Caenorhabditis elegans: one gene and its partner. The protein of the gene in region 1 interacts with the protein of each later gene in a pairwise test. Each region holds a gene or a part of one and is shown on either strand. Other genes may lie near its edges. The genes, in order: Y113G7B.15 and numr-1.

Region 1 (7,363 bases):
TTAAAAAAAAATTAAATTTAAAATTTTCGCTAAAATTTTAGAAAATTACCTCAAAAATTCAGAAAAATTTGCGTAAAAGCTCAGAAAATCTGGAAAATTTCGATTTTTTTTGCAGTTTTTTTTTCTCTCAAAAACTGCAAAATTTCGCTTAATGCCACGTGGCAATTTTTACAATTTTTTTTTCAAAATTTCAAAAAAAAAAAATTTCAAAATTCCCAAAAAAAAACTTTTTTTTTCAAAATTTCAAAAAAAAAAAAATTTCCCAAAAACTCTCAATTTTCTTCAGAATTCATGCCAGCAGCGCTTAAAAAGATGCCAGTTCCACGTGGCGATCATGATGACGTCATGGTTTACGCAAAAGTGACGTCAGATGACGTGGGCAACGTTGCGATTCCGGATTGGCAGGATTTGAATGGAGAAGTGATTTTGGAAATGGAACCGGAATCGTGTCATTTGATTCCGTTCGAATCGGTACATCAATTGGTTGAAGATGGAAATATTCAACTGATGTGAAGAAGAATTTTTTGATAATTTTTTCGGATTTTTTTGGAATTTTCATCATTTTTACCCCTAAAATCGTAAATTTAATCCATTTTTTTGTAATTTTCCCGAATTTTTCATCATTTTTTACCCCTGAAACCCCCTTTTTTTTTTTTTACATATGTCTACTTTAATTTGTCACTTTTTGCCAATTTTCTGTCAAAAAATGAGCATTTTCACTGAAATTTTGCGGTGATTTTTCGCCTGTTTTCTCCTCTTTGAATCTCAATTTTTCACTTTAAAATTATCAAATTTTGCTCAAAAACCTCATTATTCCATTTTTATGTTCCCCCAAAAAACTGGATTTTCACTTCAAAAATCGGGTTTTTTTCTCTTAAATTTTCATTTATTTTAGCTTTTTTAAACATAAAAACGAAGCTTACTCCATGTTTTTTCCTGAAAATAGACAAAAAAATTTGGTTTGATATAAATTTTCGATTTTTGAGCCAAAAAGTGAATAATTTAAAGTTTTTCTGCTCATAACATTGTTCAGCATGACCATAGCGCAAAACTGGTGAAATTTTTGGAACTTTCGTAAAATTTCAGGCTTAAAACACCTAAATTACGCGAATTTTGGAGCAGTTTGAAAACTTGGTCAAGTGGCTCAGGCGGGAAGAGAGAAGGCTATGGTTCGGAGGGTAACAGGTTCGAACCCCCGCTAGGGTCAATATTTTTTATATGTTTGAATTAGTATAGCCTAGTTGGTTTTGAGCAATTGCGAAGGGGAGGAAGGGTTTAAGGGAATTTTTTGAAAAAAATCGATAAAATGTGTTTTCTTTTGGTTTTTTGCCAATTTCTTGAAGTTTTCAGCGATTTTAGCATAAATTTCCAAATTCTGCAGAAAATTTAGACATTTTTTGACACCCATATTAACTTTTCAACTTTTTTTTTCGAATTTTGAGCCAAGAAATTGATCGATTTAAAGTTTTTTACTCATAACTCTGTTCAACATGAACGTAGATCAAAACTAGTTAAATTTCTGGAATTATCGTGAAATTCTGAGCCTAAAACAACTAAATTACGCGAATTTTGGAGCAGTTTGAAAACTGGGTCAAAGTGGCTCAGGCGGGAAGAGGTATGGTTATGTGCGGAGGGTCATAGGTTCGAACCCCCGCTAGGGTCAATATTTTTTTAATGTTTGAATTAGTATAGCTAAGTTGGTTTAGAACAATTGCGAAGGGTTTTGAGGGAATTAAAAAAAAAAAAAAACATTTTTTTTTAAATTTTTAGATTAAAAATTTTTTTTTTTTTGGAGAACTAAACTTTCAGGGCTCAGAGTAACACTGAAACAAGAACAATTTTTTTTCATATTTTATCATTTTATGTTACCTGTTACCTTGAACATGTTGATCGGCGTGATTCCACCTATAAAAACCAGCGAAAACCCCGTAAAAACCTGAAAAATGTTACTTTTCATAATTTCCCCCTTATTCCTACTCTCTCTATGCCAACCTACAGTAACCCAACACTCTCAGGAGGTACTGTCACATTTTAACAATTTCACGATGCACCATAAGAAACACTACCGTACCCCGGCGGAGAAAGACCGCCGGTTGGCTCATTTCGCGAAAAATCATCAGAAAATCCAGGAACTTAATGCGAAAGCAAGGAGAGAAGGACGAAATGTGACTTTTGGGTGGAATAAGTTTGCTGATAAGAATCGACAGGAGTTGAGCGCCAGAAATTCAAAGGTTGGGGAGTTTTTTCAAAAAGCGCACAAAATTCTGCGCAAGATGGTTTTTGATTGGTTGAAAAATATTGATTTTAAACCGAGTTATGGCGTTTTGAAGGTGGTGGCCTAGAAACCGGAAATTTAGAAAATTTAGGTCACCAGTATTAAATAGGTCAAATAGACTCTAAATTTTAGGGAGAGTACATTAGTTTTAGAATCACTGAAAAATATTGATTTTCCGTTGAGTTATGACGGTTTTAAGTTGGTGGCCTAGAAACCCAAAAATCAGAAATTCTAGGCCACCAATATTAAATAGGTCAAATCGATTCCAAATTTTGTGGCAAGTACGTTAGTTTTGGAATCACTGAAAAATATTGATCTTGAGCAAAGTTATGAAGGATTGAAGTTGGTGGCCTAAAAATCCAAAAATCAGAAATTCTAGGCCACCAATTTTAAATAGGCCGAATCTATTCCTAATTTCAAGTCAATCACGGTAGTTTAGGAACCACTGAAAATATTAATTTCGAGCCAAGTTATGAGAGATGGAAGTTGGTGGCCTAGAAACTCAAAAGTTAGAAATTCTAGGCCACCAAATATCAAATAGGTCAAATTGATTTCAAATTTTGAGAAAAGTACGTTAGTTTTGGAGTCACTGAAAAATATTGAGTTTCCGTCGAGTTATGACGGTTTGAGGTTTGTGACCTAGAAACCCAACAGTTAAAAACTCTAGGCCACCAATATTCAGTAGGTCAAATGGACTTCAAATTTTAGGGAGAGTACGATAGTTTTGGAATAGCTGAAAAATATTGATTTTCCGTTGAGTTATGACGGTTTTAAGTTGGTGGCCTAGAAACCCAAAAATCAGAAATTCTAGGCCACCAAATATTAAATAGATCAATTTGATTCCAAATTTTGAGACATATACGTTAGTTTTGGAATCACTGAAAAATATTGATTTTGAGCTGAGTTATGACGTTTTGAAGTTGGTGGCCTAGAAACTCAAATATTAGAAATTCTAGGCCACGAAATATCAAATAGGTCAAATCGATTTCAAATTTTGAGACATATACGTTAGTTTTGGAATCACTGAAAAATATTTATTTTCCGTCGAGTTATGCCGGTTTGAAGTTTGTCGCCTAGAAACCTGAAAAATTCTAGGCCACCAATTTTAAATAAGCCGAATTGATTCCAAAATTCAAGTTGATTAAGTTTGTTTCTGTAAAACTCAAAAATATTGATTTTGAGCCAAGTTACAAGAATTTGAAGCAGGTGGCCTAACTTTTAATTTCTAGGCCACCAACTTCAACCCTCCATAATTCGGCTTTAAATCAATATTTCTGAATTTTACAAAAACCAACTTACGAAATTTGGAATCGATCTGACCTATTTAATTTTTGATGGCCTAGACATCCAAAATTTTGGGTTTCTAGGCCACCAACTTCAAACTTTCATAACTCGGCGGAAAATCAATATTTTTGAAATTTGAAAATTGTATTAGAATGTTCACGGTGCGTTCTTTAAGTTCTAATTATTCTTTTTTTTTAAACGAAAATTAAAAAAAAATAATTTGGAAATTTTCCAGATTCATCCCAAAAACCACACGGATCTTCCAATTTACAAGCCGAGGCATCCACGTGGCAGTCGTAATCATCATAATAAACGCTCAAAACGTCAAAGTGGGGATATTCCGGACTATTTCGACCTCCGTGATATTTATGTCGATGGGAGTCCAGTTGTTGGTCCTGTTAAAGATCAAGGTATGCTTAATTTGAAAAAGCTTAAAATTTGAGTAAACACAGATTTTGATTGGCGAAAAAATATTGATTTTCCGCCGAGTTATGAGGGTTTGAAGTTGGTGGCCTAGAAATGCAGAAATTTTTGGATTTCTAGGCCATCAAAATCAAGTAGGTCAAATTTATTGCAATTTTTTAGACAAATAAATTGGTTTTTGCAAAATTTTATTATGTAGATTTTCCGCCAAGTTATGAATGTTAGAAGTTGGTGGCCTAGAAAAATCATGCTCAGGTTTTCTAGGCCACCAATTATTCGAAAACAATAATAACTTAGACTCAATGTTTTTACAATTTCAGGTTTGAAAACTATAATTTCTAAGCAAAGTTATAGTCGTGGAAGAGTTTTTAAACTTTCTAGGCCACCAACTTGAAACCGTCATAACTCGGCGGAAAATTGATATTTTCGGGTTTTGTTAAAAGCATGTATCTTTCCATAAAGTTTACTATCAAATTAACTTAGTTAATTTTTAATGGCCTAGAAAAACACCAAATTGGATTTCTAGGACCCAACTTCAATCCCATATAACTCGGCGGAAAATTGATATTTTCGAGATCCGTAAAAATAATTTTGTTCACCATGAAATTTACGTTCAATATGACCTACTTAAATTTTGATGGCCTAGAAAACAATCATTTGGATTTCTAGGCCACCAACTTCAAACTCTCATAACTCGCTTCAAAATCGACGTATTTGGAGTTTGTAAAAGCCAATCGGTTTGTAATTTAATTGTTAACTTGAAAAACTCCCCCAAATACCGGTGGCCTCATCTGAAATTCTAGGCCACCAACTTCAAACCTTCATAACTCCCTTCAAAATATTTATTTTTTGGTGTTTCAAAAACTATTTCCATTTTAAATTTTACGCTCTTTTCAACTGATAACTTTTCAGAACAATGCGGTTGCTGCTGGGCGTTCGCCACCACTGCCATCACCGAAGCTGCCAACACCCTCTACTCCAAGTCCTTCACAAGTCTCTCGGACCAGGAAATTTGCGATTGTGCAGATTCAGGAGACACTCCTGGGTGCGTGGGAGGTGATCCAAGGAACGGTCTGAAAATGGTGCATCTACGGGGACAGTCCAGTGACGGTGACTACCCTTACGAGGAATATCGGGCGAATACCACTGGAAATTGCGTGGGCGACGAGAAAAGTACAGTAATCCAGCCGGAAACTTTAAATGTCTATCGATTTGATCAAGATTATGCAGAGGAGGATATTATGGAGAATTTGTATCTCAATCATATCCCTACAGCAGTTTGTAAGTTTTTTTGAAGGGTCTCGCCACGAAAAGTTTTGGGGTACAGTAATCCGGTATGGTTTGGGCCTGAAACATGTGAATCTGGCAAAAATTACGAAAAAAAAATCTTAAAAACTGACTAAATTATGAGGTTTTGAAATTTGAAAATTTTGCGAAAAAATTAGCATTTGGGTCCCACCACGAAACGTCCTGTAGTTCTTTAGTCTGGGATGGCTTGAAGCCCAAATTTTGCAAACTAGTAGAATAAAAGTATGCGCTCCTGTCAAAATAAAAATTATCTGAAAATCTTGAAAACTAGCAAAGATATGTTGCTTTGAAATTTTAAAAATTTTTGCAAAAAATATTTTTTTCAAAATTTTGGTCCCGCCACGAAAAGTCCTGGGGTACTGTAGTCTGAATTGGCTTGAAGCTGAACATTTATAAGCTGACAGTAAAAAATTTTGCACACATTCTGAAATAAAAATAAGTCAGATACCTTAAAAACTGACAAAGTTATAAGGTTTTAAATTTCGGAAAAAATTTGCAAAGAAAATATTTTTTTCTTCAAAATTTTGGTCCCGCCACGAAAAGTCTTGGGTAATGGCTCTGAGCTTTGAATTCTAGTAGAGAAAGAGTATGCGCTCCTGTCAAGTTAAAAATTATCTAAAAATTTTGAAAACTGACAAAGTTATAACGCTTTGAAATTTTAAAAATTTTTGCAATTTTTTTTTTCAAAATTTTGGCCCCGCCACGAAAAGTCCTGTGGTACTGTAGTCTGAGATTGTTTGAAGCTGAAATTTTATAACCTGATAGTAAAAGATTTTGCACACATTTTGAAATTTAACTTAGGTGAATATCTCAAAAACTGGCTAAGTTTTGAAGTATTGAAATTTAAAAAATTTTGCAAAAAAATTTTTTTTTTTGAAAACTTGTGTCCCGCCACGAAAACTCTTGGAGTACTGTAGTCTGAGATGGCTTGAAGTTGAAATTACATAAGCTGGCAGTAAAAAATTTTGCACACATTATGAAATAAAAATTAGGTAAATATCTTAAAAACTGACAAAGTTACGAAATTTTGGAATTTTAAAAATTTTAATTAAAAAATTTTTTTCAAAATTTTGGTTTGACCGCGAAAAGTCCTGTGGTACTGTGGTCTACAATGGCTGAACGCTGAAATTTTTGCAGACTGATAGTGAATCATTTTGCGCACATTTTGAAATAAAGAAAAAGTTAATATCTCAAAAACTGGATAAGTTATAAGATTTTGAAATTAAAAAAAATTCCAAAAAAAAAGTTTCCAAAAAATTTTCAAATTTTTCCAGATTTCCGAGTGGGTGAGAACTTTGAATGGTACACATCAGGAGTACTTCAATCCGAAGATTGTTACCAAATGACACCAGCGGAATGGCATTCCGTAGCAATTGTTGGTTATGGTACATCAGATGACGGTGTCCCGTATTGGTTGGTTAGAAACTCGTGGAATTCCGATTGGGGTCTTCATGGATATGTCAAGATTCGACGTGGTGTTAACTGGTGTCTGATTGAAAGTCATGCGGCTACTGCTATGATTGATAATTAATTGTGTAATGAATGTTTTAAAAAATTAGTTGGTTTAGTGAATTACAACATTTGAGTATACAAAAGTTTTACAAAAGTTTGCCAAACCGGAAACTTAAAAAATAATGAACGATTCGAAAGTTATCACGACAAAATGATTATTTCTTGAGAGAAATTGGCGTTGACTCTCTAATTGGTGTTTCTGCTCCGACAGATCTATCGCTTTTGTCGTCTTGAGCTTTTTCGACGTCATCCTCATTGGTGCCAGCAACCTTTATTCTGAAATTACAGTCGTTAGAGATGACAATGTTAAACTAAAAAAAAACTGAACAGTTGCAAGAAAATCTCGAAACTTTGCCTGTTTATTATTCCTCCAGATAGATAACTAAAAATGTACCTGTGAATAGTGACAATATTCTTCTGTGCAATGTTACATACGCAGCTACATGCCTCTTGTTCAAGAGCCAGATTCCAGTGCATGCCTAGCAAAATGACATGTGTCGCACCATGCAAATTGATTGCCCCTGCTCTCTCTGACAAGAAAACTACGCTGACTGTTCTGTC
Region 2 (3,575 bases), on another chromosome or scaffold:
CTGCGGAATTGAAGACTTCTTTTTTTTTATTGAATGACCACTCTAGTTGAAATACTATTCTACTAACATTTCAACTTAAAAATCAATAGACGTCTAGCAATGTTGTTGGAAGTGAATATGCAGAAGGTTACTGTAATATTTTGAAAAGTGTCTAGATGCTCATCACATTATTGAGAGATTCCAATGTATATATATAATGTACATTCTATTTATATGAAAAATAAGTTTATTTTTTAACGTTTATTATAAAAAACAGTTTTTAAAATTATTCAAAAAAGTACATGAAAATAAGTAGTGGAATGAATTGAGAACATTGAATACTACTTTTGAAAGAATAATTATAAAATAAGAATGAAAAATGAGATAATTAACATCGACCAAATCTGCGTTCAAATGGATGTTGTCTCTTGAATCCATGATGTCCGAATCCATGACCAAATCCATGATGATGACCACCGAATCCATGGAATGCTCCAAATGGATGATGATGTCTATGGAAATTGAATCCATGATGATCCATTCCTCGTCTTCCAAATGGTCTTCCGAATCCTCCAGTTGGACCTTCAAATTCTTCTCTTCCACAAGGTGTTCCAAATGATCCTAATGGATGTCTTTTGAATTCTTCTCCTTCACGACATGGTCTTCTTCCAATTGGTGATGCTGATCTTGCACGTCTTCCACCAAAACAGTGACGTCTTTTGAATTCTGGATGTCCATGGGATTCTTGGAATCTTTTCCACATGAGCTTCTTCATTTGATGTCTCTTGTGATGATCATGGAAATTTGAACGACTTCTGCTTCGAGATCTTGAACGATCAAATCCACGACTTCTGGATCTATCACGTCTTCCACAATGACGACGATGTGGAGCTACTTCAGGAGCATCAGCAATAATGACATCTTCATCTCCAGAATCAGAAGAATCAGATGAAGAATCCGATGAATCAGAATCAGCAATCACAAAAATAGAAGCAGAATCTCTGTTAGCCATCTTTTTCAGAACTCTCTGAGCATTCTGAGACATTGAAATCAAATTTCCTTTGTCATTTTTCCAGAAAACAACATTGAAATTGAGTCCGAGTTCTCCCAATTTCAACTCTAATTTTTCAATTAGTTGTTGCAAATTGTAATATTCAATTGAAATTTGTTCAGTTGCTCCAGGAGCAAAATAAAGTTTGAAAAGAATTGAATTGGTTGCAGTTGTAGTTTTCATTTTTCAGAATGATTTTCTCTATTCTAAATTTCCAATTTTTATACCTCCATTCTTAAGCTCCGCCTACCAGCTGTCCCTGAACTATTTCGAAATTGTTTAATGTGTCTGTGTCTATCGAAATAATACGAAAATGTACTGTCATCACTGTCTGCGTCTCGAATTGGCGCTGATCTTTTGATATTCATTGATGAATGAGACTAGAGACATGGATGTATTGCACAAACCACAGAAAGAGCACAAAGTCTTTGAATTTCAGATGATCTGAAATACATCGACATCAATAGAGATTTACTTCTTAGGTGACATAATGTTTGGTGATTTCATTAGAAATATTGAACATTCATCTAACAAATTGGGATCTGCAAACCCAATTTTTCAGAAAACGTGTTCATTTCAAAAAGCGATCGAAAAATAGTTTTTTCCGTAACCCGGACTGAGTGCCTGCCTATGTTTTCAATCTGATTAGGGTCTGAAATCTGGAGAGCGAAATTTTTACAGAAAAAAACTATTTTTCGATCACTTTTTGAAATGAACACGTTTTCTGAAACATTGAGTTTGCAGATCCCAATTCGTTAGATGAATGTTCAATATTTCTAATGAAATCACCAAGCATAATGTCACCTAAGAAGTAAATCTCTATTGATGTCGATGTATTTCAGATCATCTGAAATTCAAAGACTTTGTGCTCTTTCTGTGGTTTGTGCAATACATCCATGTCTCTAGTCTCATTCATCAATGAATATCAAAAGATCAGCGCCAATTCGAGACGCAGACAGTGATGACAGTACATTTTCGTATTATTTCGATAGACACAGACACATTAAACAATTTCGAAATAGTTCAGGGACAGCTGGTAGGCGGAGCTTAAGAATGGAGGTATAAAAATTGGAAATTTAGAATAGAGAAAATCATTCTGAAAAATGAAAACTACAACTGCAACCAATTCAATTCTTTTCAAACTTTATTTTGCTCCTGGAGCAACTGAACAAATTTCAATTGAATATTACAATTTGCAACAACTAATTGAAAAATTAGAGTTGAAATTGGGAGAACTCGGACTCAATTTCAATGTTGTTTTCTGGAAAAATGACAAAGGAAATTTGATTTCAATGTCTCAGAATGCTCAGAGAGTTCTGAAAAAGATGGCTAACAGAGATTCTGCTTCTATTTTTGTGATTGCTGATTCTGATTCATCGGATTCTTCATCTGATTCTTCTGATTCTGGAGATGAAGATGTCATTATTGCTGATGCTCCTGAAGTAGCTCCACATCGTCGTCATTGTGGAAGACGTGATAGATCCAGAAGTCGTGGATTTGATCGTTCAAGATCTCGAAGCAGAAGTCGTTCAAATTTCCATGATCATCACAAGAGACATCAAATGAAGAAGCTCATGTGGAAAAGATTCCAAGAATCCCATGGACATCCAGAATTCAAAAGACGTCACTGTTTTGGTGGAAGACGTGCAAGATCAGCATCACCAATTGGAAGAAGACCATGTCGTGAAGGAGAAGAATTCAAAAGACATCCATTAGGATCATTTGGAACACCTTGTGGAAGAGAAGAATTTGAAGGTCCAACTGGAGGATTCGGAAGACCATTTGGAAGACGAGGAATGGATCATCATGGATTCAATTTCCATAGACATCATCATCCATTTGGAGCATTCCATGGATTCGGTGGTCATCATCATGGATTTGGTCATGGATTCGGACATCATGGATTCAAGAGACAACATCCATTTGAACGCAGATTTGGTCGATGTTAATTATCTCATTTTTCATTCTTATTTTATAATTATTCTTTCAAAAGTAGTATTCAATGTTCTCAATTCATTCCACTACTTATTTTCATGTACTTTTTTGAATAATTTTAAAAACTGTTTTTTATAATAAACGTTAAAAAATAAACTTATTTTTCATATAAATAGAATATGTGACTACATTATATATACATTGGAAGCTCTCCATAATGCGATAAGCATCTTTCATGATAGACACTTTTCAAAATATTAAAGTAACCTTCTGCAGATTCTCTTCCCACAACATTGCCAGGATTTCATGTCAATTTTTAAGCTCCAGTCATTTTTGAAGTCAATCTCCATCAAAATTTGTTTTCATTTACGTACGAATAATACTCAAACTATTTAGTGGAAATTAAATGTTTGCATTTCGTTTCAAAAATTAATTGTTCTCCAGCTATTTAGATCACTATTTCACGTCATGTTGCCATTTAATTTTGTGTGTTTTCTGTATTAAATAATTAAAAATTTTATCATAAAAGCATCTAAATTTCTAAATAAACTTTGATGAACCTTATTAACAAGTTTAATGAATAACTAAACAGGAACCTACATAAAATCGG

Evidence for each region.
Region 2: the proteins of Y113G7B.15 (region 1) and numr-1 interact in a two-hybrid assay, tested with the Caenorhabditis elegans proteins (one large-scale study listed by BioGRID).

The regions. Positions count from the first base shown.
Region 1 is NC_003283.11:20,228,424-20,235,786, reverse strand, and holds Y113G7B.15 (Pept_C1 domain-containing protein), read left to right. Parts: upstream 1-1,943; coding exon 1,944-2,231; intron 2,232-3,794; coding exon 3,795-3,969; intron 3,970-4,894; coding exon 4,895-5,263; intron 5,264-6,564; coding exon 6,565-6,821; 3' UTR 6,822-6,848; downstream 6,849-7,363. Other genes in the region: sld-5 (DNA replication complex GINS protein SLD5), read left to right, coding at 287-513.
Region 2 is NC_003281.10:7,362,023-7,365,597, reverse strand, and holds numr-1 (PB1 domain-containing protein), read left to right. Parts: upstream 1-2,133; coding exon 2,134-2,979; downstream 2,980-3,575. Other genes in the region: numr-2 (PB1 domain-containing protein), read right to left, coding at 368-1,213.